Arabidopsis thaliana: one gene and its partners. The protein of the gene in region 2 purifies or fractionates together with the protein of the main gene of each other region. This does not show direct contact. Each region holds a gene or a part of one and is shown on either strand. Other genes may lie near its edges.

Region 1 (12,080 bases), on a different chromosome or scaffold from region 2:
TTTCACTCTCTCGGCTAATTTCTTGATATCAAAAGCTTGCTCGCAAAATTCATAAGGGTTTTGTTTGTTTCTAGTGTATGACTAATTTCATCCTAAAGTTTGTACCTTTGATTGATTTCATTGAATTTTGTGTGGTGGTTTTTATTGTTGAATAATGTGGCGCATCCTGGTTTTATGATTTGATGATCTCTGTTGCAATGGTGATTTTTTTTTGGTTTTGATCAAAGCTATGACTGTGTAATGCTGATGGTGATGCTTTGGGATGATCTTTGTAACGCTCATGCCATTCTAATTGTGTAAATTAGTCTCAAGTTTGTTGCTTTGATCAATGAATGTGGTGCATTCATCAAGTAGGCTTTCGTCTTACTGAACTTGGTTTTGATGCTGATGGTGTGATGCTCTAGGATAATCACAGAACTCTCACGCCATTGTAATTGTGTAAAAAAACTGATCTTTTTGTTTCAGTCTAATTGTGTTGTTTAAATCAATGAATAGGGATTTTGGTGTAGCAGGGATACAAGTTTTGTATGATGGATGAATCAAATGAGATAATCTTGCAGAAATCAAAGAGGTTGACATCTGTTGTCTGGAATTACTTTGAGAGAGTGAGAAAGGCTGATGTGTGCTATGCTGTTTGCATTCAGTGTAATAAAAAACTCAGTGGTTCGAGCAACAGCGGAACAACTCATCTTCGGAACCATCTTATGCGGTGTCTCAAAAGAACTAATCACGACATGTCTCAGTTGCTGACACCTAAAAGAAGGAAAAAAGAGAATCCAGTTACTGTTGCTACTATCAATTTTGATGACGGTCAAGCGAAAGAAGAGTATCTTAGACCTAAGTTTGATCAGGACCAACGAAGGGACGAGGTGGTTCTAAGCCGAGGAAGTGGTGGAAGGTTTAGTCAAGAAAGGAGTCAGGTTGATCTTGCACGTATGATTATTTTGCACAATTATCCGTTAGCCATGGTTGATCATGTTGGATTCAAAGTTTTTGCTAGGAATCTTCAGCCGTTGTTTGAAGCTGTGCCAAATAGCACAATTGAGGATTCATGTATGGAGATTTACATTAGGGAGAAGCAGAGAGTGCAGCACACTTTGAATCATTTATACGGTAAAGTCAATCTTTCGGTGGAGATGTGGTCTTCCCGGGATAATTCTAACTATGTGTGTTTGGCCTCTAATTATATCGATGAGGAGTGGAGGCTACATAGGAATGTTCTAAACTTTATCACCTTGGATCCTTCTCATACTGAAGATATGCTCTCGGAAGTGATCATCAGATGTTTGATTGAATGGAGTCTTGAGAACAAGCTTTTCGCTGTTACGTTCGACAGTGTTTCTGTTAATGAAGAGATTGTCCTGCGAATTAAAGACCATATGTCTCAGAGCAGCCAGATATTAATCAACGGGCAGTTATTTGAGTTGAAATCTGCCGCTCATCTTCTGAATTCTCTTGTCGAAGATTGCTTGGAGGCTATGAGAGATGTGATCCAAAAGATTCGAGGAAGTGTGAGATATGTCAAGAGCTCGCAATCAACACAAGTAAGGTTCAACGAAATTGCTCAACTCGCCGGAATCAACTCCCAGAAGATCTTGGTTCTTGATTCTATTGTTAACTCGAACTCTACGTTCGTGATGCTTGAAACCGTATTGGAGTACAAGGGTGCGTTTTGCCATCTGCGTGATCACGATCACAGCTTTGATTCATCTCTAACCGACGAGGAGTGGGAATGGACAAGATACGTTACTGGTTATCTTAAACTTGTATTCGATATTGCCTCTGACTTTTCAGCAAACAAATGTCCTACAGCAAATGTATACTTTGCTGAGATGTGTGATATCCACATCCAGTTGGTCGAGTGGTGCAAGAACCAGGACAACTTCTTGAGTTCTCTCGCAGCAAATATGAAGGCTAAATTCGATGAGTATTGGAACAAATGCAGCCTTGTTTTAGCAATCGCTGCGATATTGGATCCGCGATTCAAGATGAAGTTGGTAGAGTATTACTACTCTAAGATCTATGGCAGTACCGCTCTGGATCGTATCAAGGAAGTGTCGAATGGTGTCAAGGAGCTTCTTGATGCATATTCGATGTGCTCAGCCATTGTCGGTGAAGATTCCTTCTCTGGATCCGGTTTAGGTAGAGCTAGTATGGACACTAGAGACAGACTGAAAGGGTTCGACAAGTTTCTTCACGAGACTTCTCAGAACCAAAACACAACAACGGATTTGGACAAGTACTTGTCTGAACCGATCTTTCCCCGTAGTGGCGAGTTCAACATTCTGAATTACTGGAAGGTCCATACACCAAGATACCCTATCCTCTCTTTGTTGGCCCGTGACATTTTGGGTACGCCGATGTCAATCTGTGCGCCTGATTCAACCTTCAACTCTGGGACACCGGTGATCTCTGATAGTCAGAGTTCCTTGAACCCTGATATCAGACAGGCTTTGTTCTGTGCACATGACTGGTTGTCTACAGAAACAGAGGGTACAATCTCAAACTCTATTTAAGTCTTCTTCTCCTTTATAAGAATTCAAAAGCCAATCAATCATCAACTCCTACTGACTTAAATCTCTTATAACGAGCCAAGAAATTCTACCATTGTCTAGACAATACCCTCAAACTCTGTGAAGAGAAGAACAAAATACAAGGTATTGAGGTCTTTGCGTTCCTCACTTCCACCGTTTTCTTCATCATTCTAAGTGAATAAATTTTTATTTTCCTCGATACACATTAACTTTACTAGTTTTGAATTGTGGTAGGATGAAAAGATCATGGAATGTCACTCGTAGTTCTCTAAGGTGGTGAAACTGAAGAGAAAGCCAAATGCTTTTAGATGGTCGTGTTGCGTAGATGGAACAGAAAGTACAGAAGTTTAATTTATTTATGCATTTGAGTTTGCTGTTTGTAACAAATAGAATCCTCAAGTTTAAAGCAAAGGGAAATAAGTTAAAGTCAATTTTGTTTCTTCTTTTTCTATATCTTGCTTAACATGAAAACAAAACAGGGATTATAGAATAGGAGTAGGAGGAACCAATAATGAAAGGAGAGACAACTCCAACAAATCGATCTGTGTAATAACATTAATGGAAAACAAAGATGTGTTGTGACGTAGAATGAGTGAAGACAGCTACATGCAAGTCGTAGAATGCAAAAAAAGAGAGTAAATGAATCAGATAAAACTATAGTAGAAACATTATAGTGAACACAGAGCGGGGAAGTGCGTGTGTGTGTCTGTGTTTTACGTTCTCTTGTTAGGTTCGAAGACGTATTTGATCAACGAATCTTTGATGGAAAGCATCTCTGGAAACTCCTTGCTGAGCTTGGCACCATCCATCTCGTTGTTGCTCCGTGGAGCAACAATGACCTTAGCCTGTTCTTCCAAATTGAAGTTGGACCATTTGAAATCAGGCTCGATGTAACTCTTGTACATCTCTAATATCTCGTTGTGGCTCACCACTCCTGGATTGGTGAAGTTCCATATTCCCCTTAGGTTCCTCTTCGCCATCTCGATCGAGATTGGTAAGAGTTCATCTAGTATGGTCATGCTGTTTGGAATGTTCACCACTTTGTTGTAACGCGAGATCTTCGTGATGAAGTTTCGCGGGTTATTTAAGTCAGATGAGATTGGCATCCGCACTCTCAAGGTGCATACGTTGTCAAATTCTCTTAGAAGCTCTTCCACCTGGCAAAAATAGAAACAAGAGGATTTTTTATGGACAGAGTTCAAGAGACTGAGGATCAGATGTGATTTGGTTATGTGATATTATCTTACCATTGCCTTTGTTTTTGAGTAGAAAGAACCAGTGAAATTCGGTTTATCTTCTTCCTTAAAACCAATCCCTGAACCTTCTGGATGTGCAGCGTCATACTCGAATATACAACCAGTGGCAAAGTTCATCATCAACAGATCATTCTCTCTGCAAACATCTGCAAGAGTCAAAGTTCCAGCAACGTTGACTCGGATGGTTTCAGTTTTGTGAGATTCACACCAGTCAACATTGGGTCTCCCAGTTAAACCAGCGGCGTTGAAGACATGACTTGGTTTGATGCTGCGAATATCTGCGATGAGAGAAGCTCTATCCTCTAGTCTTCCTTTTCCATACTCGTAAGGAATCCCTTGTTTCTCACATAGTTTTCCCAGAAGACCACCGAGCCACCCAGTCTTCCCATAGATGAGGAACTTCAAGGATCTTTTGTCTCCGGAACAACCAGCCTTGGTGGGAGTAACCACCGTGAATGTCTGATTACCATCTGCATTCTTGTGCTCGTCAGAGCCATCAGAGTGTCGGTCACCGGGCATCATCAACATCCGTGGATGAGGAAGCAGAGCTCCAGAAACATCGCCCCACCACTCAGGGTTCTCAGTATACCATTCCATTGTCTTCCTCAGTCCTTCTTCCCAATTGGTTCGCTCACACCATCCTAATTTCTTCAGCTTCTGGTCATCGAGGAAGTACCTCTGGTCATTGAATGGCCGGTTTTCCACATACTGAATGGTGGAGTCAGGGTCTATCCCAAAGAGTTTACTGATGTCATTAGCCACATCAATCACTCTCCTTTCTCTCGTTGTCCCTATATTGTAGACATGGTTAACTTCCCCTTTGTGAAGAACAACCTCAAATGCCTCAGCAACATCTTCGCAGTAGAGATAACTTCTCACATTAGATCCATCTCCGTGGATTGGGAGAGGCTTCCCATTCATGGCCAAGAGGATGAACTTAGGAATCAACTTTTCAGGAAACTGGTTAGGACCATAAACATTGTTCCCGCGAGTTGTTATAACCGGCAACCCATATGATCTACCATATGCCATGACAAGCATCTCAGCTCCAGCTTTAGTGGCGGAGTATGGATTAGTTGGGAGCAACTGAGAAGCCTCGTGATTACCCACTGAAGCATCCTCATCAGTCTCTCCATAGACCTCATCAGTACTCACATGGATGAACCTCCTGATCTGGCCAGTGACTTTACAAGCTTCCAAAAGGACATGGGTACCATAAATATTGTTCTTGGTAAACTCAAAGCTATTACCGAAAGAATTGTCAACATGGGTTTGAGCAGCAAAGTGCATAATGGTGTCGATTTCTTCAGTGATGAGAAGGTAGTTGACGAGATCAGCACTGGCGATATCTCCTTTCACAAACTTGAAGTTGGGAGAGGATTTAGAAGGATTAAGGTTCTTCAGATTAGAACAGTAATCAAGCTTGTCAAGCACAACAATTTTGTAGTCAGGGTAGCTGCGAACTAGTCTGTTAGCAACATGAGAGGCTATGAATCCAGCAGCCCCAGTGATGAGGATGTTCTTAGGCTTATATGTAGCCATCTGCAACATCAAAACCCATGAAAATTCAATTCAGAAAAGCTTCATTGACAGACGAAACAGCACAAGAAAAACTTCATCTTGCGACATTTAATCAAACAGTTAGACTACACACTAAGCAGAACCATTCAAAAATCTATCCTTTTTTACAAAATTTCACTGTGTGATTCAGTACAATCAAAGTCATGAGATTCGAATTGATAAAAGGACAAGCTACAACTATTAATCCAAAATTCGAAATGATCAAGGAAAAAATAAGGCAGATCTAGATCCAGAAGTATGTATGACAAATGTAGCAAATCCAAATACGCTAAAATTTCCCAGATTTAGCAGCAGATCCAGTGGAAAACGATGAGAAAGCATCATGAACCGAAAAAAAAAAAAAAACTTCAGGATACGGCATCAAACGCAGAACGAAGACGTACAATAACGAATTGAGCTTAGAGATTTATAGAGAATTGAGGGAAAGAGAAAGAGTTCACATACCGGATCGATTCAGATCAAGATGAAGATGAACCCAAGCTTGAAGAATATGCAGAGATGGATTAAAGGAGGGAAAAATCGAGGAGAGGAGAGAGATCAATGGAAATAAATAAAAAAAGGAGTGTGAAGAAAGAGAGGGAACGAAGGAAAACGAATGAGCGTCTCAAATGAGTAATTTTGAGACAGTTACGGAGAACCAGTGGGAGACTACGCAATGACCAAATTACCCATTACTACTACTACTACGCTTTAGAAATTAATTTCATCACACATTCAAACTAAACAAATAGTTAGAACAAAAATTACCATTAATAAAATGGTAATAAATAAAATGATAATTTTGAACACATCGACTACTCATCTATGATTTGTACCGAAAGATGACTAAAAAAGTTTGTTTTACAAAAAAAAAAAAGATGACTAATTTTTTTTAATACATTTTACAATTTGGTTTGATTTGGACATCAAGTTATTTTTGTAGTCTATATTTTGGTATATTCTTGGTGGCTAAGAAATATATACATATGCTTTAATTATATTCCAATTCATAAGATTTAGTCTATCTCAACTTGTTTTAATGGTTTTTCTTTTCCCATGCACGTTGATATTATCGTGTAAAGTGTAAACTTTTGCTAGGAAACCACTTTCTCTAGTACCAAACTAGTAGAAAGCATTTTTCTCCTCCAATAAATCACTTTTAATTAACACTTCAAACACCGTCTTTACATTGTTTATTTTATAGAATTCCACCTCGCTAAGCAAGTGCTGCTTTATATAATTAATTCCATCTCCAATGTTATCTCCATGCCAACTAAAACAATAGAAGAAGCAGCTTTCATCTCCCAATGTCGTCTAACGAAATCGCCCCTGTGGATCCTACCGATGTTTTTCTTGATATGGATCCCATCCTCCCGGAAGATTCGCCGGCAACCAGCTTGTTCACGAGACCCCTCGCTTTGAAAGAACAATATGTGTGGGAGCCCTATGACAGCGAGAAGCTTCCGGAGACATTAGCCTCAGGGATTCAAAGGTTTCTTCGTGTAGCAAACTTGGTTGAGTCTGATGATCCTCGTGTTGCTTATCTATGTGAGTTTACTTTACTCTCGTCTAATTCCCTAAATTTGAGTACTACTTTAGGATTTTCTCTGTTTTTGAGTCGAAATTCACGCTTTCTTGTTAAAGAATCATAATTTATATGTTAATCTTTTTATTTTTTCTGGTCGTAGGCCGTTTTTATACTTTTGAAGAAGCTCACCGCATTGACAGTAGATCTAACGGAAGAGGTGTACGACAGTTCAAAAATTCTCTTCTTCGAAGGCTAGAGAAGGCAAGTCACCTAAGAGTAGAAAACGTGACACTGATTCTAGCTAGTTTCTTGATTTTTTTTAAGATATGACCGATCATATGAATGGTGTGGATCAGTCTCCGGATAATTCATGAAATTTCTAACCTTATATATTAAGTTGTTATGTTGTTTGTCTTGATCTTTAATTTGTTTACTTGTAGTAGGATGACGAGTTTACTATAAGAAGAAGAAAGGAAATAAATGATCATAAGGAACTCAAACGTGTTTATCATGCTTACAATGAATACATCATCAGACATGGTGCATCATTCAATTTGGATAATAGGTATATATATATCCTCCATTTTTAAAAAAATCTACTGACTATTGCTAGTTCTAGTTCAATTTCAACGAACCAACATTAACCTATGGAAATTTATCTGAATATAGTCAGCAAGAGAAGTTGATAAATGCACGCAGCATTGCTTCTGTTTTATATGAAATTCTAAGGAAAATCGAATCAAGTATGGGCCGTGCCTCAACCCCAGAAAGTATACAATTAAACCGGGATGAGGAGATTGGTGAGCTCCTTGATATGGACACCTCAATGGAGGAGACCAACAAGATAAATTCGGACGAGACCTTTGTCGACCAAAAAGCCGAGTTGGTAGTTGAGAAGAGCAAAGTCTTAGAGGACGAGAGACTAACTCAAATGTTTCAAGGAGACCACCAATATCTCACCCAAGATGAAAAAGATGACATATACAAAGAGGTGACACTTTTGAATTTTTAAAAATTATTTATTTTCTAACAATAATTTTATAAGTTATCAACTAACTTTCTTTTAAAAGTATTTTTTTGGGGGTTTTAGGAGGTTCAAATAAAGAAAGACAAACGTTTTGCATATGGATCAATGAAGGCGGTTCCATCTTTGTTTTACGAAGATAAGTATCTCGAGACACAAGAAAAGTTGAACAAGCTGGAGAAGAAGATTGAAGAGATGGAGCTGAAACTCAAGGATGTCGACTTTTGGACTAACATGATGCAAAACATGTTTCCAGACCAAGTACCTCCATCTATGAGAGCAAACCAAACCGATAACAACAAAAACGACAAACTAAGCCTTTAAATTTTATCTTCTATCTAGTTGTTCTATTCCTATGGTTTGTAAGACACTAAATATTTACATTTAAGTTATCTTTGAACTTATGTTTTCGAATATTTAATTAGTTTACAAATTATATTTTTGTCTACGAATTGCATGACAGGAAAAAAGAGAGAGATCTAATTCCTTAAAACATATATTCAAAATACGGATCTATTTGATAAAAGAATAGAAAAGTAGATCAAAGTTTTATTTTAAATATGGAAAATATTAATAACTAGAGTATGTATGGAATTAATTTTGTATAGATACTGCTTGGAAATATAATCCATTTTGAAACGGTAAAACAAAAAGAATTTATTATTTTTAATGTAAGAGAAGATTTTTCTTTTTTAACCATCGTAGTTGATAATCACTTTTTTTGCGGTGCATATGGCACACTACCGATGGAGCTGGCTTGTTCAATAATTTAACAACAACTTCTACCTATCAATTCTCAGCCACACTTATTTTTTAACCCATGCGTTTTTTTTTTTTTATTGTACGATTCAAGGAAATTGCGACAGAGGAAATATTTGCACGTTTAGAAATACACAAATTATTTGTTGATGTCTACGTGATGTGATTTATTGATTTATGTATCTCAAACTTTTTCGGACACATTCATCATAACTTGTTAACTTTTAATTCGACAAGGCCTGGTCATAATTATTTAGAAAAATAACAAAACTAGACACATTTGATTACTTAGGTTATATATTTCTCCTTTTGACAAAAAAAAGGTTATATATTTCTCCGTTTAATTAAATTATATAATGAATAACATCATATTCAAAACCAAGACATTCAGAGCGCCACAAATATTTTAAAATCAATAGCAAAAGTCTCCTAATGACTTTTCTTTTGCTTAATTCACGTGTTTTTCTGGTTAATCTAGTTGATATTTCTACGTAATTGTTCAAAAATAAAATATATTCTACGTTACATTATAAATCAAATATTTATTTTATTTAATGCCGTATACATTTTGTATACACCCGAAATCGAATGGTATATATAATTTCTGAAAATTGGATAAGCTTAAGTGCTTAGCCACTTGATTACTACAATGTCGTAATTAGATCATTCACGTAATTAAAATTTAAAACAAATGTTCTGAATGGTTGGTGACAGACTGACAGTGACTAATGGATAAACTCATGTGTCTCGCGCTCGATTATCGGCTTATTACATGAGTTATGTTATATAGGTTATAATGGTTATTGTAAAGAGAAAGGTTTAAATCTGTTTAACCAATCAGCTTAATGAAGAATAAATGTGTCACAAAGTAAAAGTCAAACCCATTGAATACATATATAGAATAGAAAAATTCGTGATATTAGCGTAACGTTAGCTAGATTGAAAGATTGATTGTCCCACGCTTTGTTATACAGATCGCGTGGCGTCGTACTTTAAACATACTTCAGCGAAACAGCGACATGGCTTAATCAACTATATCATCGGTAATTTGATATATCAATAAAGTGATTTATCGGAAAAACGTTAATTTCTTCACAAGTTGGAGTATATGTATTCACTCGCGTACGTAAGTTATAATTTCAGATAACGTAGATAATAACTTCACTCATAATATAAATGATTGTACTTTAATTGTAATAATGAGCGTATGAGTAGCGTCTCGCTAGGATAGTATACGTGTTGACCAAATTGAGAGGCAAATCCGCAAATGAGATCCTGAAAGAAGAATAAGTTTATGATGGTTTTCTGGAAACCAAATGGGATTTGATCACTCGAAGGGTTTTATTAACGATGCTCTTAAAAACAGTATAATTGTTATAAAAAGAAAGAAAGTGTAATTTACGTGTGCCATTGGATTTTCTTTTTCCTTAGGGTTTTAAGATTATGATGAGTGACTCAGCGCGAGACACATGAGTTAATCCCGAACGCTTGTTGAAGTAGACTAGAACATACGACCACCAAATGTTAATTAATATTATTCTATTCTTTATCATTTTAAAATTCTAAGAGAATGTCAAATGTAGACCACTCAAAAGAAAAAAAAAAGAAGCTCCAAACTCAATCCAAAAAACGAGAAAAATTGATTGGTCAGCAACTATTTTCAGATAATCAAGTTGAGATCAATGTCGACGGGGATCAACGTTACAGCTCAGGCTATAAAACAGAGAAGACATATTATTTAAGTGTCTCTTTTAGGCATGATTTTCAAAACCTTTCGAGTTTTTTCAATCTTTTTAATCAATGGGATCAAATTTCGAATATCATTAAGACTTTTAAGAGAATTTTTAGACCATTATGCATATGTTTACCTTAATTTTTTCATGATCTATATTATTTTAAATGGAATTTATTAACAAATATGTATAACGTTACGACACTTTTTCGTAATTAATTTGTTTGTAAGATAGTTAAACAGTAGACAAAGCCAAATATGGACCGCATATATATAGTCGTACACATTCAGCCTTTTGCTCCTTACCTTTTTAAGAAAGTCTTCTTTTAAGTTTCTGGGTTTCAGTTTTTTTTTTTTTAAAATAAAAGTTTCTATAAGAAGAAATCTCGTCTCTGTTTAATTCTCTCTTTAACGTTTTGATCCGTTTCCATAAGAACATAACAGAGCAAGAAAAAAAAGAAAGCACAAGCTTTGTTGTTCTGAAGAGAAAACAAACAAAACAGAGAGTTTAAGACAGAGAGAAGCTCATGGATGTTTTTGCTTTCAATGCTTCTTTATCCATGTGTAAAGATGTTGCCGGAATCGCAGGTAATAACTTTATCCTATTCACTGTTTTTTTTTTGTTTGGTAATTTTAAGCTAATTGTGGTAAAACCCAATATTCAAATTCCTTTTTTGATTCCATGTAATATATATAACTAGATCTGGCTTAGGTTCCATGAATATCCCCAAATCAGTATATATTTTGGCCATTTTTGGTCCGCATATTTTCCTTTTCTAGGCACTGAAACAACGTTAATAAGATTCAAATTTGTTTCTGAATTTTGTCGGAAAAATTCTAGAAATCTGCTTCTGTAGAGTCCAAATTGATGCAATTCACAAACAAAGATAGAAACTTTTTTCCATTTGTTAATATCACTGTTTCATTTGTTCTTCTGTGTTCAGGCAACATATTTGCATTTGGACTCTTCGTTTCACCAATGTGAGTTCTTCTTATTCACTTATTCGTTGTATGTATTAAACAGAGTTTTTCTTTGTCTATGGACTTGACTGTTTTTTCTTCTTTCAGGCCAACGTTTAGGAGGATCATGAGGAACAAATCGACGGAGCAATTCTCCGGTTTACCATACATTTACGCTCTCTTAAACTGCTTGATCTGCCTTTGGTATGGCACACCTTTCATATCACACAGCAATGCCATGCTTATGACTGTGAATTCCGTTGGAGCTACGTTTCAGCTTTGCTACATTATCCTCTTCATCATGCATACAGACAAGAAGAACAAGGTTTTTGGATTGTTTCTACTTCTTACTCACACAAACAAATTATTGTTTTTTTTTCTAACTCTAAATCAACATTTTGATCATGGCAGATGAAGATGCTTGGTTTGCTTTTTGTGGTGTTTGCTGTGGTTGGAGTGATTGTAGCTGGAAGTTTGCAGATACCTGACCAGCTCACACGGTGGTACTTTGTCGGGTTCTTGAGCTGCGGTTCTCTTGTTTCAATGTTTGCCTCGCCGTTGTTTGTTATTGTAAGTTCCCAAAAAATGTCAACAAATCTTTTCAAAATATATATGTAGCTTTCTTGATTGCCTGACTTGTTTGGTCTTTGCAGAACCTAGTGATTCGGACTAAGAGCGTTGAGTTTATGCCGTTTTATCTCTCGCTATCGACTTTCTTGATGAGTGC
Region 2 (10,289 bases):
AAATCACAGTGAGATATTGAATCATAATTCAAACAGAAGTGAAAGTAAAAAAAACTCTATCATACCTTCTTATAGTATATACTATTTACTATATGTAAACTAAATTCAAAAATTGGAAGTAAGATTTTTTTTTTTTATCATACATACAACATTTTTGTGTCTCATTCTTTAATATTTATTTTAAGAAATAAATGTTCTTCATTTTTTCAATGTCAAAACAACATGTTCTTGCACGTGTTATAAGATTTTTAAGATACATAACTGAATCAGCCGGTGCTGAAAATTGAATCGGCTTTTTTATCCAGAACTTCTGGTTTTGCGGCTTTTTTAATTTCTACAAAAAATACTTTTTTCTAGTGATAAACTAGAATGGAATATCTGGATCATTTTGGATTGGTGCGATCAGACAAATTCGGTTCAGTCTAAAGAATGTTGCTTTAAAGCAATGTTCTGTTTATTTTTGTCATTTTGTGTTTGTTTGGTCAGTGCACAGTAATTATTTTAATAAAAGTAATGACACCACATTTATATTTTTGTTTTGGCAAATTGGCAACACACCTAGATTAGTTGTTAGTTTATTTTCCTTTTTAACAATCAAACTGATTCAAAATTTGCGGCTGGTCCAGCCCAAAAACAAATATTGGTGTACCAATCCTTCCTTTCTAGTTTGTATAATGGTTAATCATCTTATTAATTGACATTCATATATGTTCTATTTCTCGTCACTATATATATCTTATAAAAGTAAAAGAAATAATATAATCTTAATAAAAATTTCGTCCAATAAATCTTTTTTTTTTTGCACCCTAAAAGTATTAATTTATTTTATTTTTGGATAAATGTAAGAAGAAAACAAATCATTGAAACTTAGTTTTGCATAGAAAATGTGGATGGAAACACACATATGCAACATTGATTTATGTTGAGATTTAATCTCGATTGTAATCAATTATGAATCATCTATATGTGGTTCTTAATTATGCTTAATTACTTATTCAGAGTTTCGAATTCCACTTTTTCTAGAGTTGTGATAGTAACGGGCAGATAAAAATATTATTGAAAACTTAACCATTTACAAAATGCATCTCTAGTAATATTTTATACTACTGAAATATAATCTGCATATGAACATCAATGTTGGTCTACTTTGTTTTTTTTTTCCACAAGTTGGTCCTTCTTGGTCTACTTTGTTTTGTGGCGTATATAAGTAACATATATGCTATGACTAAACACTGAATGAAAATGTATGCAAATTGATAAAAAAAAGGAGGCTCCTATCAAACCGACCAAACCGAAAATAATTGTCCTTACGTCGCCGTCCAGAACAATATTATCGAAGATAAATCCAATTTTGCTTTTGCGCCCAATATTAAATTTAAGGTAATGATAACAATTCGGATTGGGTTCATAAAAGCAAGTTATAATATACAATGAAATATACTTTTGGTGTGATGTATCTTACCTTTTCGTATGAACTGATTGCGTGAACGATTGCATCACTTATTTAGCCTAATAATTTTTCTAAAAGAGAATGATCCGATCCAGATTGGTTTAGATATGATCAAAATTGCAAGGAGGTTCGTTAGAAGTTCACCAGAACTGTTATTTACTTGCAAGGAGGTGGCCCGAGCGTTACAAACGCGATATAAAGATTAATCAATATGGATAAGAGTGACTATAAGCTCATACTCTTAGAATAACTTTGAAAATGTGTCGCATGATAATCGTTTGACTAGGTTTACGTTTTCTTTATACACTATTTTTGAATAATTATTCATTTAAATGCATTTCATGTATAATATTCTCTTTGTTTATTTTTGTTTGACTGTTTAGGAAAAACACACATATTAAGGTAAGCATATTAAAGTTGATTTTAAATGTATTATTTTGTGTGTTTTACAATTTCATATAACTTTAAACCAATGATATTCAATCATTTTTATTAAAGTTAACACTTCATCAAAAATAACAAATAAATGTTGCATAAAAAACCTTAAAAAATCAATTTCTTAAAACAAATTTATTTCCTAGAAAATCAAATAAAAAGGAACAGAGAGAATAGTAATTTATAGATGACTAATTGATAAATAATTTTTCATACAATGTAAATAAAGAAATAGTATAAAACATGTTAAATATTTATATAGATATATTTTCTAAACATTCATGTATCACGGAACGAAAATTGGTCGAGAGTAAGATACACAAGTCAAGATAAAGATGTGAAGTGTAAAATTTTCACATGAAGAAGAAGGGATTGTTGTCCAGTTTGCCATTTTTTGGATTTTTTTCTAAAAATGATAATTTTACTAAACTTTTACAATTTTGCCATTTTTAACATTTAAGATATACGTATTTACGATTTTTTTTTTAAACACGTATTTTATACCAAATACTAAACCAAAAAAAAACCCGACTAATTTTATCATAATGGGTAAAACACAAGTTAAATCACTTTTTTATACCTGAAAAATGATAAAATTTTAAAAACTATTTAAAGATGGCAAAATCTATAAATGCCATAAGAAGAATAGCAAAATTCGTAATTAATTCGAAAAACAATCGAAACCTTACAAATCATCGTAATTAAACACATGTTAGAGTCATTTTTGTATTAAAAGAAACCCTCATATATCAGAACAACCGAATTGGATACAAGATTACATGATAAATGATCGAGAATTGGCGAGTTATGTATAAGATATGTCAAAGGTCTTGCTGGACATTCGGGTTCGATGGCAATTTGAACACTTTCGATAAGTAACTAATAGAATTGGCCAAAGAGGTCTTATAAGGCTGGTTGACTAAGAGGGTCCCATGCATTTCTTTCACACTAAAATAGATAAGGGTCGGCTCTTTTGTAGGTCCAATATAATATGCGTTACTTTCAATTTCAAATTTTAGTTAAAAAACATTTCAAATTGTTCTTCTTCATATTTTACATTAATTTTCATAACGTTTTGAATGCGAATAAATCTAATGCTTATGTGACACAATGTCAGCCCTAGCTAGTCCCGACCTTCCTCAACTTGTCTCTATCACCATTCATGTCTCTCAAAGGTCCATTCATCCTATCGCCTAATAATTGAATATTGATTACTTTTATTACATAAAGAAATATAGAATATAATATATCAAAGTTAACTATAAAATTGTAAATTGTAAAATGTAAACCTTAACTAAAAGATGTATTTGATTACATCATCTTTTTTTTGTCTAAAAGAAATTGGGATGGACCTTTTATCTATTTGTATCTCTTCGTCTCATGGTCCGGAATAATAACTAAAATTTACCTAAAATTTCAAATTTCTTGGTATCATAAAATAACTACAATGCAACATTGACTTATACTTCATATCGCACGTATCGGATTTAAGATTTCTAGGGTTCCAATCTTCATGTTCGACTCTAGAACCAGAGGGAGAGCAATCCATCATGCTGATAATCACCCGCCAATCTCTCTTATCCTTATCTTTCTAATGACTAGAATTAGCTGCATATATATTGTTTGTTTGATATTGACATTGTATTTGTACACATAATGGCTTCTATGTATATATAAGTGCATGCATGAATCCGTGATGATGGCACACCTTAATTACGAACATAACTTTAAACTGTATTAATGATCGATTAGTTATAGATATATAATATATTGTTGTTTGCCTCCATGGTTAGCTAGTTTTTGACATGGCTTGATATGCTACTGATGTTTTCTAACGTTGCTGTTTATTGAATTGTATATATCATATAGTTTAATAATGTTGATGAATAAGCCGTGAGTGATATAAATTCCAAACTCATTTTCCACAAGATTCACACTAGATTTTGTTTTCGGCAGATTCCATGATTGTTGATAATCTTATCAACCAAAATTAGAGAGAAGGCAGATGAATATTTAAAGTGATGGGGAAAATTCAGTGTGTCAAAACCGACGTCGTTTTGATGACCAACAAACTGACGAACTGAAGTTAAACCGAGTTAATTTCAGTTTGAACCTAAACCCAGAGAAAACCATAAAAAAATGTAAATTAACGATAACCGATTAGAACCAAAGAGGGTAAATAAACCAAACCGATGTTCTCTTCTTCGGTTCTTCTCTTACCTAAAGAAAGAAACCTCGCGGGAAAGTAAACTGGGGGCAAAATCGGGAATCACTAAAAGGATATAAAGGCGGGAAAAAGAGCCGTTGCGAACCAAAACTCTCAAACTATGGCGCCAAACAAAAGACGGTGGTTGCGACTCTGCCCGTAAAATTTCTCGGGCACCTAAATTTTTATTCTTTTTAAATTTCCAATTTTATCCCTTTTTTTCTTCATCTTCTTCGCAAAGCTTTTTTCTCCTGAATATTATTTTGACTATTTAAACCCTCTCTTTATCTCAATTTCCTCTCATTTGTTTTTTCTCATTCTTCTCAACAACAAAAAAAATTCTTCCTTTCAGACCAAAAAATTTGACCAACCACAAATTTTTAATCTTTTTCCCCACTTTCATTTTATTCCGATTCCTCTTCTTCTAATTGGAACAAGTCTCTGTTTTTATCTCTCTGTTTTCTTTTTGGGTTTACTCTGTTTTTTCATTTATCTTGGTTTTGAGTTAGTTAAAGAGAGATGGGTTTTTCGAAGAAATCTCAATTCGAAGGAGGTTTAGAATCCGACGGGAAGAAATGGGTTATCGCCGGAATTTCGATTCGGGCTTCGTTGAAACCAGTCAAGACGAAACTCAGAGCGCCGCCGGAGATAGTGACCGAAGTTGAAGAAGATTGCTACAACGAAGAGGAAGAGTGTTCGACGACACCGACAGCGAAGGAAACGAAGATACCGGAGTTATTGGAATGTCCACCAGCACCGAGAAAACGACGGCCGGCGTTAAAATGTCGGAGTAACGTCGTTAGAGAGTTTTTTACGCCTCCTTCTGATTTAGAGACGGTGTTTCTACGTCGCCGTTAGTGAGATTTGAGTTTTTTTTAATATAGTTCTCTAGTTATATATTAGTTACAGGCCATGAAAACTTTGGTTATTAGACTTAGAGTTAAAAATATATGATAATGAATCTAATTATGATAATGCGTATCTTCCAAATTAGCCTTGTTCATCACATTTGGTTTCATTAATATTTTGGTTATACATATATCAACAAATAATCAGTCCAGATTTTATAAAAACACTAATTTGATGTAGAAAATTTTATACTCAGAGCCTTGGATTAAGCCTACGGAGACTAAAGGAGAAGTGACGCGAGCAAATCTTACCAGTTAGCTCAACTACCTAAATATAATAATAAAATTACCAATAATTTGTGACAAGTCCACACGGCAAGCTTTTGACTCTCCACTATACTCGTTTTTTTTGGGCAAATCCACTATACACGTTTATAGGTTTTTTTTTTGTTGTTGGTAAAACTCGTTTATAGGTTAATAACTTAAACTATGTATTTGCATAATTATTGTTTCCTTTATCTAATGTTCTAGATGTGGGCCAATATAGTTTTTATTAACAAATAATATGGTGGGATCTAATACAAAAATCTTTAATTTCAAATAAAAAGAGGTAAATCATACTATTTGGAAAGAGAAGAAATCAACAATTTTATAATGCACACATGTAATGTTTTTTATATGCTTTAAAAGGATTCTGAAGAATTTCAATGCATGACTTTTTTTTAAGGAGGCCTCTACTTCTAAAGCCATCCCAACAAATATGATACTTTCTTTTTTCAGGTTAAAGAGCTTTTTGCGTGCACAATTGCACACTCACTAAGTCATTAGTATCTTTAATTCATTGACCACTACTTTGTATTGTAACAAATTAATTAAATAAACTCATAAGACATTATGATTAGTAATTACTCATGCTACGCACCAATAGTACTATTTGCAGATTAAATGTGTTGCATGCAAGTAAGTCACTAATTCTCAGTTGTGTTCTTGTGGATTGAGTCATGAAAAGGACAAAATAGGGTTCAGAGAATAGCGGTGCGATGGGAGAATCCAATGTGGGACTTAAGGCCTTGTTTGGTTCCTTTACGAGACAACGACCAATCTCGTGTTTTTTTCCTCTTTTTTTTGAAATGCCAAATACAAGAGAAATATTTGAATAGAAGGAGACTATGACGATTGACGAGTTTGGATCATTCTTGTGAACGAGTTTATTTCACTGTCATGACTTTAGGAACTATAATACATTTCTTTTCAGGAAAAAATTATATTGCCTGCCGAATGTACTAGCAATTCAAAATGAGAATCCAAGTTTGAGGATTAGGTTCACCTTTCACAAGTCTGTAAATTTGTTCTAGTTAGCAATTCCAAAACAATAGCTTTTAGTGTCCCAACTGATGATAGCCGAATCTTCCATTTTAGGAGACTTTAAAAGATTAAATTCTAAGCTGAAAGTGCGGATGAAGTAATATAAATTGCAAGGAAGAAAAGACACAAGAATTTTGTTAACGAGATTCGGTTTTTCCTACTTTCCGGGAGAAGTTTAGATTCAATTTCAGTAGAATAATAAAACAAATTACAACAAATTTGCAAACGCGTAAAATAAGCACAAATCTCTTGATTTACCGCTCTCTTTTAAAACGTGAAACCTTAAAGATAATTTTTACTCTTAATTAAATTCCTTCAAAATCTAGATTTAATCAGGATAACACCTAACCCTGAACTAAACTATCCTTAAATCTAGACTTCAAAGCAAAACCACTTGATCACACAAGCACAAACCCGCAAAACTAAGTTGCACACAATCTTACAGAAAGTTCTCAAAGATTTCTTCTTTATATCTCAGCTCTCTTGCTTCTTCAAAACGTCTCCAGCTTCTCCGTATATATCCAAAACGATTTTTTAATCATTATAGGAAAAGATTTCCAAATTCCATAAGAAAAAATAAATTTTTATTTACATTTTCCTTTTTTCTCATTGAATTTCACGTTCATCAAGTCTTCCAAATCCTTCTAAGTCATTTTCCTCTTTTGATTCATCATCTAAACATATTCCAAAAATATATTTTCAAATTTTCTAGTAACCGACACTCACACAAAAACATTCGCATCCTGAATTACTTCTTAAATCATTTAGCAACTCCATCAAACAAAAATTTGTATACTATTAAACTCATTCAACGACTCCATCAACAACAAATGCATCTTCATAAGAATCTTTCAAAATGTGTAATTTCACTTTAAAATGCATGTTTTGATTATTCATTGGATCCGTACAGATATAAGGATAAACAAAGAATTTAGTACGTAGGAGTCGAAATGAATAACTTATTAATAGAGATATTATTGTTACTTCTTGACTAAAAGGATTTTTTTTAAAAGAAAATAATAATTTAAATGACGGATATCGTATTGAATTGATTTTTTATTAATTCATCTTTTTTGTTTCTTATTTCATCTTCCATCATTTAAGAAAACACAAACATTTTTCAGAACTAACGACTCAAGAATCAATAAGATCATGTTATATATCAGTGTCCAAATCTTATATAATAACACATACAATCAATTCCAAATTTATATAATATGTAAAAGATAATGATTGAACAAGATATTTAGAATCCAAGAAGTGACTGATTATTCTGATTATCCAAGAAGATAAGATAATTATTAATTTGTAAATTATAGTTTAAACGAATCCAAGAAGTGACACTAATTAAAGGTAAACAATAAATTTGCAAGGATCAAGATTACGTGACAATTTCACGATGCCTAAGTCAGTTTCTCAAAGGTAATGATGAACTCGAACTGGCCGTCTTCTAACTAGTTCATCTAATTAACTAGTATTTTAGATACTTTCGTATTGTCTATTGTGTGTGTGATAAGATGTGCATACATATTAATAGTTTTGGTTTTATCATTCTTTTGTACTGTCGAAGTTTTGGTTCTCTTTTATTTGGATAGAGACATACATTTGTGACTTGTTCTTTGTCTATATAGATATGATAGTAGCTATCTTCAACAATGCATGTGCTTCTCTAGGGGACCAATCGAATAAATTCTAGTTATCATATAAATAAAAAATTTCTCATAGACTCTATATGTGTAGACAAACTATGATTCCTAAATTGAATGAAAATAACCAATAATTATAGAAATACAAGTAATCGGAATCCTGATATTGGATAGTAGAATTGAGTTGGATGACGAAGAAATAAACTCTTAACTGACCGGATTCATTAGCGCATGTTGCGTTGCCACCTTCGCAAGAGTTTTGAGCAGTGAGTTCAACTCCATCTCACCATAAAAAGTCTAGTAGTTAACCAAAAAAAAAAAATCTTAACTGAAAAACCAAATAGACTTTAATTATTGAAAAAAGAGTTGAAAGCTAAAAATTAAACCATAATTACTAATTAGTCATCCAAAGAAGACAAGATGTACTTGGTCATGAATATATTATAAGAGGAAGTAATATTTAGAGCATGTCTATATGTGTCATGTCTGAACTTCGGTTTAGGTTTCTCCACTAAATATTTTACAAAATACTCATTTATATGCGCAGTCATCAGGTTTTGGGAATACATGTAAACTGCAAAAAGAAAAACGGACGTTAACGAAATAATGCAATTATAGTCAACCGTCCCTCTACCGAAAATATACCTCAATTTTAACAAAGAAAGAAGATATACCTCAATGTTTGAAATATGTGTAATGTATAAGTAAGATCTATAAGATACACTAATTGAGATGATCGACATTGGTAGCTATTACGTAATTATAAGTAAGAATACTTCCCAGGGGATGATAATGGGAGAACGGGCTACATTTGTACTATAAGATTCTTTTCACATATAAATAACTCCTAGTATAATAGTACAAGTGAAAGAAAAAAACGAATCCAATGCAAGTGTGAAGTTAAGGTATTTTGAATTTTGTTACGCATGCATGAGGTTTTTTTCCACAGTGTCTTAGGTTAAGAAAATAAAAGAAGGACACTGGACACGTACACATGGGCCGCCAAAAAGGTATCCTATGCCCGAAACTATATGTATAGAGATGTAAGAAATTTAAATTTAAATTGATTTTAATGATGGCCTTATTTCTCAAAGAATGTGTATTTTTTTCCGTACGAGTCTTGATTTTGTCTTAAAACGCTAATATGAAAGTAAATGACTGTTTTGCCCACATCCTTCTTCGCTTTAACGCGGTTTTGACTTCTTCTGCCCGTCTTGCCCGGTTAATTATGGCGGGGAAAATGGAAGAGAGAAAAAAAAATTGAATTAATTAGAAGAGAAACAAAAAAGGTAAGATTCTTGGCGGGAGAGCGTAAGCCCGGGAAAAGCGGGATTGTAGTGGCGGCTGTTTTGTGTAATGTATGTGTGGGAGTTTGGGTCCACATCATCGTCAACAACACGTGTCTGTCTGAATTGACTCACTCCAACATAAATAACACGTCAGCATATGGGCCCACTTGGGTTTTTAATCGTTTCATGGATATTGAGACGTAGCCATTCGTCACATATGACGCCACAAATCTTATTAAGTAAGAGTATATTTTGACGACAAAAACTTACGAAATTATACTAAACACAAAAAAAAAGCTCAATACAAAATTATGTCGACGACGTAAAAAATTCTCACCAAATTATACTAATTATGTTTGAATTTGAGAGACAAAAATAAAGTATGCTTCAATTTGAAAAGTGCAGTTTAGTTTTGTCGCCCTTTTAACATGTCACAAAAATGACATTCTGGTTTTTTTTTCCTTAAATAATGAAGATGTCAAAGATTAAAATTTTCTTTATTTATAGCGATCGTACAATTTCTCTACAAATTATTCTTTCGTCAAAATTAACTGTATATAAATTTTCAAATTTTCTTAGACTTCTTATTCATAAAAAGTTAAAAACAGTAGCCATTTTATATATTTTTTCCTGAGAAAAGTGTATCAATTGAAGCCCATAAGAATTCAAAATGGTTTTAACTTAGACTTATCTTTCTTTACGATAAGAAGCCCAATATTAACATAAAGCCCAAATTTGAGTAACTATTGATTATTATTTTTTAACGTTTCAAGAATACCACTTGCCTTTGTCAAGGCAATAGGACAATAGGACCATTATCAAGCATTTGGGTGAAAAGACTCACATATTTTTTTTTTTTGTAGAAGTCGATTTTATAACCAGTTTCTGTATAAATCATATGGTATGCTTATACATGATAAACAAATAATAAAACCACATATTGGTCAATAAAATTTCGTAAAACGGTTTACAAATATTATAAAAACAAACGACAATTATTTTTCCTTTGCATATTCCATAATAGTTTACAATTGTTCAGAAGAAATAAAC
Region 3 (11,556 bases), on a different chromosome or scaffold from region 2:
ATACAGGTGATGGCTCGTTCTTCACCAATGGATAAGCATACACTTGTGAAACAGTTAAGGACAACGTTTGATGAAGTTGTTGCTGTCACTGGAGATGGAACAAATGATGCACCTGCACTTCATGAAGCTGATATTGGACTAGCAATGGGAATTGCTGGAACTGAAGTGAGTATATGATAAGATTTTGTTATGTCATTTGTGAGAGCTAAAGAATCTAAAAGTTTCTATCTGTATAACCTTTTAGGTGGCGAAAGAGAGCGCTGATGTCATCATTCTCGACGATAACTTCAGCACGATCGTCACAGTTGCTAAATGGGGACGTTCTGTTTACATAAACATCCAGAAATTCGTTCAGTTTCAGCTTACCGTTAATGTTGTTGCACTGGTTGTTAACTTCTCTTCAGCTTGTTTAACCGGTAGGTTTAGTAAGAATACCAATTCAATGTCTCGAAAAGAATCATTTTGGATTCCTTGTTTGACACAGCTCTTATGATAATCTTCAGGAAGTGCTCCTTTAACTGCTGTTCAATTGTTGTGGGTGAACATGATCATGGACACACTTGGAGCTCTTGCTTTAGCTACAGAGCCACCAAACGACGAGCTGATGAAGCGTTTACCTGTTGGAAGGAGAGGCAATTTCATCACTAATGCGATGTGGAGGAACATTTTAGGACAAGCTGTTTACCAATTCATCGTAATTTGGATTCTCCAAGCCAAAGGGAAGGCTATGTTTGGTCTCGACGGTCCTGACTCAACTCTCATGTTAAACACTCTTATCTTCAACTGCTTCGTCTTCTGTCAGGTAAAGAACAAAGATTACTGATAACAATACTCGAGCTATAAAGATAGATTCTTGACATGACTTTGGTTCTGAAAACTCCAGGTGTTTAACGAGATAAGCTCGCGAGAGATGGAAGAGATCGATGTTTTCAAAGGAATACTGGACAATTACGTCTTTGTGGTTGTGATCGGTGCAACGGTTTTCTTTCAGATCATAATCATCGAGTTCTTGGGCACATTTGCAAGCACAACACCACTCACAATAACACAATGGATCTTCAGTATCTTCATAGGTTTCTTGGGTATGCCAATCGCCGCTGGACTGAAGACGATTCCCGTTTGATCGTTCCATCAAAATTGGCTCGAAACCACTCTTTAAAGATCTCTATATTAGACCAGTTACTTCAAAGTTTAGAACGGACAAGTCTTCTAACAAAGTTTTTGCATTATGCAATGACTCTGTTTTTTATTCTTGACTTTTATTTTTCAGTTTGATTAGTGCTATTAAGGACAAATATCTGATTTCCTCCATTTTTGTAAAACTCTCTGTATCTTTGAAATGACACTTCTCTTTTCTTTCTTTTTCTCATTTTTGGAATCTAAATTTGGTCTCTATTGAATGACAAATGCAAAAATACAGAAAAAGGACATTGAAAAAACAGAGGAAGCAAAAGGTTAAAATAAGAAAAATGATTATTTGGGTACAAAATTGTTATCTAGCCAGACTGTAATTTGATATACTTAGAAAATCTCTCAATGAAGTCATGGCTTTTAGTGGGAGCCTCTTCTCCTGACATCATATCTCATCAGTCAAAACTGATTCCATATAACAATTCCAAAGCCTGTCAATCTCAAAACTGTAATAAATAAGAAAGACTCTTCTTTAAGAAAAGAAAAAAACATTTTTAAATGTTATCAATTTAGGATCTCTATGAAGTAAAACCATTTTTTAGATTGAAAAAATGAGTATACTATAGTCATTTGTCCCTTGTAGGCGTATAGGTAAATTATAATTTCTATGTGAACATTAGACCGGTAAAATATTCTATAACTAATTGTTTAAGTTTGTGATCGTGTGAATAAATGTTCATAAATAAAGGACTAATTAATATCTAGAATGAAAATAGAATTTACATAAAGATTAGTTATTTTTGTGATATTTCAATCTCACTAGTCATTAGTTTATCCATCTCCTAACCAAAGTGAGAGTTGTAACTAAATTGTGTTACCCGTGAATCTCACATATGTCTACACAAAACCCAACAGAAACAAAATGGTTTAACTCAATGATAATAAGCAAAAAAAAAAAATAACAATTGGGACATACTAATATTCATTGAAAGATAGGCAACAGAAAATTCAGAAGCATTAACTAGTTCTTGGTGAAGTAAAGCTTGACCCTTTATGCTTCTTGATTTGTTGAATAATCTCTTAGAGCAACAAAACATTGGCCTTAAACCACACACACATTATCTTTAATTATATTCTGTCAGTACTTTATGCTTCTTAATTTGTAAGAATGCATTTTGTTTGTAATAAGTCTTTTAATTCGTTGCTAATCATTTTGGAATTAAAGCTTTAATTAATGGAACCAAAACTTTGGATCCCAAGTTGTATTGTATGAGACAGTTGTTTCTCACTTAAACAAGTCGTTGGGTTGTTGTTTCTTCAGTCTATTACACATATGTTTTTTTTTTTTTTTCTCAACTGCATTTCATTGAAAATATTAACAATAATCCTATAAACACACACAAAAAAAACAATCTACCTCTATATGTACGAGTACGATGCACTTTTGACTTGCGCGTAGAATAGTACGTTAACTTAAAAACATCACATGCAAATTTCTGTATAAATTGGGGTTTCATCTTTAGATCCAATCATTGATCCAAAGTACTTCCACAGTTCCACTACAAGTTGTTGGTTTCTATAATGCTAAAGAAAACTTATTGGAGCAAAATATATATCCGTTTTAGTTTATCGTGATCGACTGATTGTCAATTCGTAAAAGTAGTTATCTATCAAAGATAAGTAACGATGATTTTTCCTAAACAAGAAAATTTTCTTTTTATTTGATTAATTTTTTTCCAAGATATTATATATTGAGATTTGAGAACATGAAAAGATCACGAAGGACTTTGTGGAATGGACATAACATGTTGAGTAGCATACAGATGGATTCACTTTGGAGATGACCAAAAGTGTCAATAAAGATAAGAAAATAAATATATTTATCAAATATAAAATAATTTTACCTTACCTTAAAAAGAGTTTTTTCATTTATTATTTGCTATGAATGAGCCCTTTTGAAAGTTAAAGAGGTTAAAAAAATGGACTTTGATGCCAAAAAAAAAAAAAAATCTATGACAAAATTTTGTAATATCAAATGAAAAAGAAATTGCAACATAACAAATAAAAAAATAAGACAATAAAAAAATAAAAGAGGATGTGAAACCAAATCACTGGCACTGCAACTATTGGCCTAAAACTATTCACCCTTTCTGTTTTTCTTATTTATTTACATTCACTCCTCATATTTCCTAGATTCTCTCAGAGAAGCCCCTAATGTTTTAATAGTCACATTTCATCCCCAAGAAATCCAAAGACCTTCATACGAAGAACCTATATGAGTTACTTCATAAAAATTGAAATAACCGATGTATTCAGACCATTTTTTCTCTATAATCAAATGATTGAATATAAAACCAAATCAATATGTTGCCAAAAAAGAAACCAAATCAATATAAGCCAAAACTTGAAGAAGAAAGAAACTCTCTCTTCATAGCCTACGCATTCTCTTGGCTGGTGGAGAACTTTGATCAGAATCATCAAAAGACAATCGGCGTTTAGCGCCACTTCCTGAAGCCGGCGGTTCGCGAGAAACCGCTATTTCCGGTGGAGGTGTCATATGTTTCCTCTCCTCAATCTCTAGCGTTCTCTGATAACACAAATATACATTTTCCTACAAAACCCAACACTCCTAAGATTATGATCATCAACATCAAACAATCAAAATCGAATAAAAAGACACCAAGATTTATACATTCTCATTAGAAGTCCACCAAGAGATCGAACCAAACTTGTTAGCTATCTCTTCTCTAGTCAATCTAATATCCGATGAGGTAGAAGAAGAAGCTAGCAATGTAGTAACAGCAGCAACAACAAACTGTCGATACTCCGTAAAACTTATCTCTACATGGAAACAAAAATGTGATATCAATAAATGCTTTGATCTTGAGAAAAAAATGTGTTTCTTAATAGAGTTACCTTTAGTTAAAGCAAGAAGAGAATCAGAGGATCTTAACAACACCAAGTCTTTAGAAACAGAATGGTTGTCCTGAGAGATTTTAGCAAGGAAGTAGTTGAAGTAATGAAAAGGAGTGATCAAGTTCATCTTCCAGTCCAATGTGGATAGAATCAACAGTTCAGTTTTACGAATGACATCGGGTTTGAAAACGAAGTCATGATCTTGAGGGTATTGTGATAAACCAGGAACAATACGTTCCTCCATTTTAGCAGCTAATGATAAACAAGCTACTGATAACAATCGCATCGCCCATGTTTCATCTTTCTGCAACTACAAAGAAACCATCTTTAAGCTTTAATCTGAAGATAAAGGTGAGATTTTTATAGATAAATGAAACTGGAGATTGAAACTTACACCGATGAATCTTTTGTGGAGAAACAGATCGAAGTATGAGATTGCAATGTAAGCTGTTTGATGTTGGAACCCAAATCTTGTTCTTGTCTGAGATTAAGACAAAGAACCAATCAATCAGAGATTAAGACAAAGATCAAAAAAGGGAAAATCTTTTTGAGATTACGGACAGTGAGAATCCAATCGATGGCAATCAATCTATCGGAAGACGACGTCGTTTTAGAGGGTAGGGTTTCGAATCGGAGATTCTCTTTAAGAACAAGGTCTGCCACATAATCTTCATCATCGATCGTAGTAGTAAAGTGAGGTTCTTGCTTATCAGATCTCTCAATCGTCTCGTCGTCGTCTTCGTTTAGAGAAGACTCCGATTCGTGGCAGAGGAAGAGAGCGAGACTGTCTTTAGGCTCACCCATTTAACGGCGGCGATGATGATGAAGACGACGGCGGCGGCGGAGATAGAAGTGTTCTTCTTCTTCTGCTTCTGCTTCGGTGGTGTGTCCGTACACATCAAAAGGGGAATTATAAAGAATTTGTGAGAAGAGTGTTTTTTTTTTAATTTATGAGATGAGAGGCAAAGTTATCGCAGTGAATATAGGGGAAGAATAAGAAGGGAAGCTAAATCATCGTATTTGATTTTTCTTCCATTACTCGATTTGGGATTTTAGGAGCAAGTGACGAAAAAACAAAGAAAAAAGAGAGAGAGAGTGGAGAGAGAGAGAGAGTCTCCCGCGTCTGGTGCCGCCAAAAATAAGTGGGGGAGAGAGAGGGGGCGTTATTTAGCGGTTACATTTAAATTAAAAATCTTTATTATTTGATTAATTTTAGGTTTTATTTGTTCACTAATATTTGAGTATATGTATAATATCATCACTCTTTTTTTTTGGGTCGACAAATAATCACATTTTTTAAAGGAATGATTACTCTTTTATTTTTTTAATATCCAGCAGGATTACTTGTGTTTGAAGACTTTTTGATGCTAGTCAATTATGGGTTTTTTTTAATTTAACAAAATTGTTTTTATCTAATAGTATTGTATTTTCTTGAAAAAGATTTCTGCTATTTCCATTAAACTGTTTTGTATTTTGTTGATTATTTAAGTTTAAGCAAATTTATTTTAAAAAAACTTTTTTAATTTCGGAGTTGTCTATGATAATGTGAACTTTATTGATAAATTAAATGTTATTAATAGAAATAAATACTTAATGCAGGAATGGAGAGCGTTTAGAACTATTGTGGCTGTCTTAAATATATGAGATTTACACGTTTTAAGAACGTCCATATATAAATGTCATTGTTTTTACCTGTTGAACTTCCTTGATTACACTCTAGATTTCTTACATGAACAAAGTTCACGGATTCTGTTAAGAATGTTATCATCAAACTTTTTCTTCTATTTATTTGTTGTTTTGTACAAATGGAATTTTCTTTCGGTCTCTGAGATAAGATTTATAGGATCCTTTGAATTTGTATCAATCATTTAGTTAGGAAAGAATAATGATCCCATTGAAATTTATGTGCAGAAAGTTAAATCCCATTCCAAATACAACGTTCTTATTAACATTTCTCATTAGTGTATTCCACGTACCACCCCCTTTGTTGCTTTTGTAGTAACTTCTATTTTAAGAGGTTTGAATTAAAATGTACTTTATTCAAAATAGAATTGTGAACAGAAAACAGAGGAATAGCTAGTTTAGTTATTTCCCACTTATTGACTTCAATTAAATTCAGACCTAGAAATTCATTTTCAATGGAAGAAAATAAAGATCAAAAGAGCAATTTTGCAATAAGTTTTTTTTAGGAATTGGTGGGGGAAACACCATACCATTCCCACTAAAAAAAATCCTCTCAACTTTTTAATTTAGTTCCATATCATTATTTTTGCTAAGTCATATACAAATTTTCCTATAGTTCTATTGCAATTATTATTCAATTTTTCTTCTCCGTAAATCTTTTTGTTTCCTCACTTTTTATAGTTATATTCACGGTAACGAGTAATTAGGCCTACGAGTAATGACTTCCATGTTAGGTGAGAAAGTTGTATATGACTCATGTAGTAGATGTTACGAGACACGAAGATTGTGTATGAAAATTTATACAGTACGTAGATAAGAAGAGTAGATATACGTAAGCAAATTCACATAGATTGTAGGTAGAAATATAGACAAATACTGAATGAGTATATTTATTGTAAAAATAGGTAGGTCTCGTTAGCGGGTTCCAAAACCTTATCATGTGTTAAATTTTGATGTATACAAGAAAAATTGAAAGCAGAATCCGATGTATCGTAAACCATCCGAATTATAACTGATTATCCAATTGGATGAAAGTGGAATTATACTATACAATATGTAATATGTTAAGAAAAAAAAAGAACAACAATTTACTAATTTGTACTATAATTAGTCTTGAACAAACTTAAAATCAAATAAATATTTATTTATCCATCAGCAAATGAGGCTCCCATCTTTATATGTTTCTGGTCCCTTTTTTGACAAATTTTTTAAAAAATAAAAAGACTTGTATATATAGGCGCATGGCTTTGGAGCCGAGTCATTCAATATATAGGATAATTAATTTTTCTATTATAGTATTAATATTTATAAGACTAGATGTAAGAAAAGGGTATAAAACCAAGAAGACGCAAGATCCAAAATCTGCAACTTTTATGTGTATGTTAGTGAAGTATCAGCAGCATTTGTTCGATCTCCCCCCTAGATACAAGTAATATTCTCACATTACGTATTTTACAGATTATTTTTGTATTTCCTTTTTTTAACTTCTGACTTGTATTATTGTGCATTTCTATGTATATATATACAATGATTACATTATGTTACAAATTTTTTTCTGAGATGTTTGTATGTAGTCAAGATGAGGGACCAATTTCACAATAACTTGAAAAATGCATTTCATCATTTTAGAATTTAGATGATGTGATCTGCAATTGCCAAGATTGACCGAAATTAGTAACGATGATGATGAATTTGCAGGATATTTTTTTATCACTTCAAAACAAGTTTTGGGTCGTTAGGCTAACTCGCTTGGTGAATATCTATGTCTAATTTGTTTTTTTTGGTGAAACAAAATTATTTTTGTTTTCTCGTGCTTTTCTTTCTATGATTGTCTTCCCTTGTTGATAAGGAATCAAAGTCTTTTGTGGTCTATTTCACGCATTTAATAAAATTACTATTATGTGGAAAATAAAATGTAATATTGGTAACTAAATATGACATTACATATAGCAAATGAGACGAAAATAAATGCTCCTATTTGAACATAGTGAACTCTTAAGAGTTAAGAAGGGTTAACAGTCAGACATATAAAAAAAAAAAAGAGTTAGTAACCAAATATAATTTGATCACATTTTTAATGAACTAACAAATCTAGGATACCTAACACACGTTACACACAATATTTTCCAATCTACTTATGATTCCTTTCGAGGTGTGTATTAGTCTATTCATCCTCTAGCAAAAACAAAGAAACTCGGTCCCTCTGTTTCCACAAGAAGGTCTCTATGGACAAAAAAGACATAACACTATCAAATATCAATTGTGTATGATGTTGAATAATACATGAAAGAAATATGATATAATATATAAAAAAAAATTGATGGTGGAATGATGGCGCACGTGACAATAACTACAGTGGAGGAGCGTCGGTCACGTGCGAAAGGCTGGATTGCCTCAGAAACGAAGAAGAAGAAGACGCTCCACCTCTGCCTAACTAGTAACAATCCAAAAAACTATATGATATAAATATAAATTATGATATCATGTCACTACTAGATAAGTTTCCTATAAGAGTAAAAAAGGTTTAAAATAAATAATTACAGTGACGATATAGTCTGTGCCATGTGTTGAATTTCTTTGGGGCTTGGTGCCCATCTAAGTGGAACCTTTGACTGTGTGAAAGTTTTTTACGATTCCAAGACAGTCAAACTTTGACCAAATATTTCTATTTACGTGTGTCCGATTTATAACTTTGGTTACAGCTTGGATTTTGGATAAGTAAATTTTTTTCTTTTTTCGATTTACGTTTTGGTGTATAAAAGACTAACAAGTGTTAGGTGGGAAGCATCATGGTTTTAGCAAGAGAATATAAAACTCTATGAATAATTGAATATAACATATTAACTTTCACATACTCATAAAATTATATAATTGACAAAATGTAATACAAAATGGTTCGTTGAAGGAATAGAGTACAACAAAATGATCAGCCACCTAACTCTTACGATTCATATCCGTTGTGTTAGTTGTGTACTGTTTGCAATTTACATAACCATTAATGTTATCGACAATATATTCATGCTTGATTCACTATATATATGATGAGTAGTAATAGTAAAAAAAAGTACATGTACATATCACAGCTTATCCGAATTATTAAAAGAAGTCTTGAAACTCGTGTGAACTCTAGTTCACGCTTTAGAGTAATGAAACTGCTCATTTAATTGTTACACATACATTTTTTTTTTATATAAAATCTCATCTAACTTGTTTGGAGGAAATAGTATATGTATATTGCCATTGAATTGTAACAGCTAACAAGAAAAAGGCAACGAATTCGTGCTTGTAGTGTTGTATATTTGATAAGAATATTTATTAGATGAAGAAGACAAGAAAGCAATTCCCATTTCGTTACAAACAACAACAAGAGGCTTCGCCGTATACTATTTATTACGTTTCCTGAATACACTCTACACTATATTGGCCCTCCTTATTTAAAAACATATTTTCTTAATACACATAAGTTTTGATTCTGTTTTAATTGCAATCATACATAATTGTTTTTATTTTGACAAAAAAAAAACAGAAAAATCATACAAAATTTATAACATCTAATTATTACAGTGACACGAAATCAGATACATAATTTTTTTACTCAATTTTTGTTAAAAAAAGAGTTCGTTGCTATAGATTTAAAAGAAAATTGCGAAAGTTCGTAGATAAAATTAAATTTTGTAATGCTATAGTATGCGACTATCTCCATTCTCCACAAGAGAAGTAGATGTAATAGTGAGTGTTAACTGTTAAGCATTTCGGGATATTACTAATAATGGGCCTAAAACTTATTATAAGGTAAGACCCATCTTTATCAAAATGTTTCTACAGGCCCAATATATAAGTGAGAGTGACCCATGTGTAATAATGTAGCCAATGTAGCCGGTCTACATAACTGAGGTCCATGCTATAACAATCTGTTTTTCTTTATCAATCAATGCTAGAGTTTGCCCAAAAAAAAAAAAATATATGCTAGAGGGTACTCATTGACATTGTTACTCCAAAATATATGAACAAACAAAGTTAATATATCGATGGACATATTCGATAGTTATTTATTTCACGGACACAGAAATAAGATCGGTGGACAAATTAACAAATATACCCATTCCTCAGCAAGAAACATAAGATCGGCCCTCACAGCTGAAGCTTTGGCGATGCTTCTCGCTCTTCAGCAAGCCAAAGATCTTGGATTCACCTCTCTGTCAATTGCTTCTGATTCACAACAGTTGATCAAAGCCATCACCTCGAGAACTCCATTAACGGAGCTCCATGGAATCCTACACGATATTCTCCTCCTCGCGTCGGAGATTGGGTTTGTTAGGTTTCACTCTATCCCTCGAAATGAAAATCGACTTGCAGATGCCCTTTCAAAATTGGGTCTTGCTTCAATTTCGTCTTTGTACCCGGTTGACTCCGGTTTAAATGTTTAATTTCTAATGAAAACCAACTTTCGCACAAAAAAAAAAAAAAAAAAATGAACAAACAAAGTGTATACAATTCATTAATTTTCTACAACGACAACTCTACAAGTATTGATATGATGATAGATAAATTAGCTAAATAGTGAATAAAATGTCAGTTGTTTAATAGACCACGTTGAACATACACGTTTTAAAATCAAAACACAATCAATTTGTTGACGTGTTTAGACATATTCGATAGTTATTTATTTCACGGACACAGAAATAAATTAGTTTTTACTTTTAGTGATGGAGCTGTTATAGGCATGATTGTTGTACTTGTTAATAATTTCCCCTAATTTGTCATATTAGCAATCGTAAAAGAGAAAGTGCCTCATGAACTATATGAAGAGGTCAGCGTGAGCGTGCCAGCAACTTGAGAGATTCGTGACCAAGTATCTATCAAAAGAGCTCTATTATTTTTTGAGGCTGAGTCAGCGACTAATAATTTCGTTATTAAATTACCGCTTTTTCATTTGTTTAATCATACTTTTCGTATACTCTATGGTTAAATCGTTAATTTGTCGCGAAGAGGCAATGTGACGTTTTACACAACATAATCCAACAAATGAAACAAAAAGATATTACCATAACCTATTATTACCTATCACAATCTTACCTAATCTTTGTCGGTCTTTGAAATGGTACATTGCCCATCGCATAAAGGGGTATGGTGCGACTCCGGCTCGTAGCAGTTCCGTGGGTTGATGAATGGTTGTTTCAAAACAATAAATGTTTCAACTTGGACGAAGATAATAATTTCATGAAAACGAAACCATTACATGACTATCATCATTTCATTATAAGAATATAAACATGGACGAGCTCAACATTTATTTAGCTGACTCCTTCTTTTATCATGTGTTTTATATACAAATACATGACTAGGATCTGACACTGTAGTATTAGTATTACCAAATCTTAAACTAGACCTAATTTTCCCTGATAAAATAATTTAAGGTTATTTTATTCCGCTGACATTTAACATGGTATAATATATTTGGACGGTTCATTTCAAACATGTAGAATATTCTAATTAAATAGAAGAGACTTTATAATCATATTAATCAATATCGATAACGTATTATCCACAATGCAACTTATTACCCTTTTTGCCATGTTTTGTGAACCGCTTGGACCGTACACCAACCCCAAAATACGGTAGTTCAAATGCGGCTAGCAATGTATTTTGTTGATTCTAAAAAAAATTGTCGATTAGTTATATATATCAGACACTATCTAAAATACCCGTTTTAAGTATTTGGAATTAATAAAATAGTCAAAATTGGAATACTAATTTCCCATAATTACTAAACTTTTATTTTACTCGTTTTACTTATTATACTATCCGTTATGTACGAACTACATT

The links.
Region 1: the proteins of AT5G40460 (region 2) and RHM3 purify together in Arabidopsis thaliana (affinity purification with mass spectrometry, with the first as the bait; one large-scale study listed by BioGRID). This does not show direct contact.
Region 3: the proteins of AT5G40460 (region 2) and CYCD5;1 purify together in Arabidopsis thaliana (affinity purification with mass spectrometry, with the first as the bait; one large-scale study listed by BioGRID). This does not show direct contact.

The regions. Positions count from the first base shown.
Region 1 is NC_003074.8:4,958,043-4,970,122, reverse strand, and holds RHM3 (rhamnose biosynthesis 3), read right to left. Parts: upstream 6,019-12,080; 5' UTR 5,816-6,018; intron 5,640-5,815; 5' UTR 5,342-5,639; coding exon 3,782-5,341; intron 3,692-3,781; coding exon 3,248-3,691; 3' UTR 3,048-3,247; downstream 1-3,047. Other genes in the region: AT3G14780 (callose synthase), read left to right, coding at 6,658-6,898, 7,039-7,139, 7,322-7,443, 7,548-7,869, 7,969-8,226; SWEET2 (Nodulin MtN3 family protein), read left to right, coding at 10,921-10,981, 11,338-11,374, 11,462-11,678, 11,765-11,923, 12,007-12,080. UniProt on the Arabidopsis thaliana protein: Trifunctional enzyme involved in UDP-beta-L-rhamnose biosynthesis, a precursor of the primary cell wall components rhamnogalacturonan I (RG-I) and rhamnogalacturonan II (RG-II).
Region 2 is NC_003076.8:16,197,855-16,208,143, forward strand, and holds AT5G40460 (cyclin-dependent kinase inhibitor SMR3-like protein), read left to right. Parts: upstream 1-4,287; 5' UTR 4,288-4,610; coding exon 4,611-4,949; 3' UTR 4,950-5,504; downstream 5,505-10,289.
Region 3 is NC_003075.7:17,672,792-17,684,347, reverse strand, and holds CYCD5;1 (cyclin d5;1), read right to left. Parts: upstream 5,181-11,556; 5' UTR 4,852-5,180; coding exon 4,609-4,851; intron 4,529-4,608; coding exon 4,442-4,528; intron 4,358-4,441; coding exon 4,048-4,357; intron 3,973-4,047; coding exon 3,824-3,972; coding exon of another isoform or gene 3,818-3,823; exon of another isoform or gene 3,743-3,817; coding exon 3,560-3,742; 3' UTR 3,084-3,559; downstream 1-3,083. Other genes in the region: ACA2 (calcium ATPase 2), read left to right, coding at 7-165, 245-416, 504-802, 884-1,123.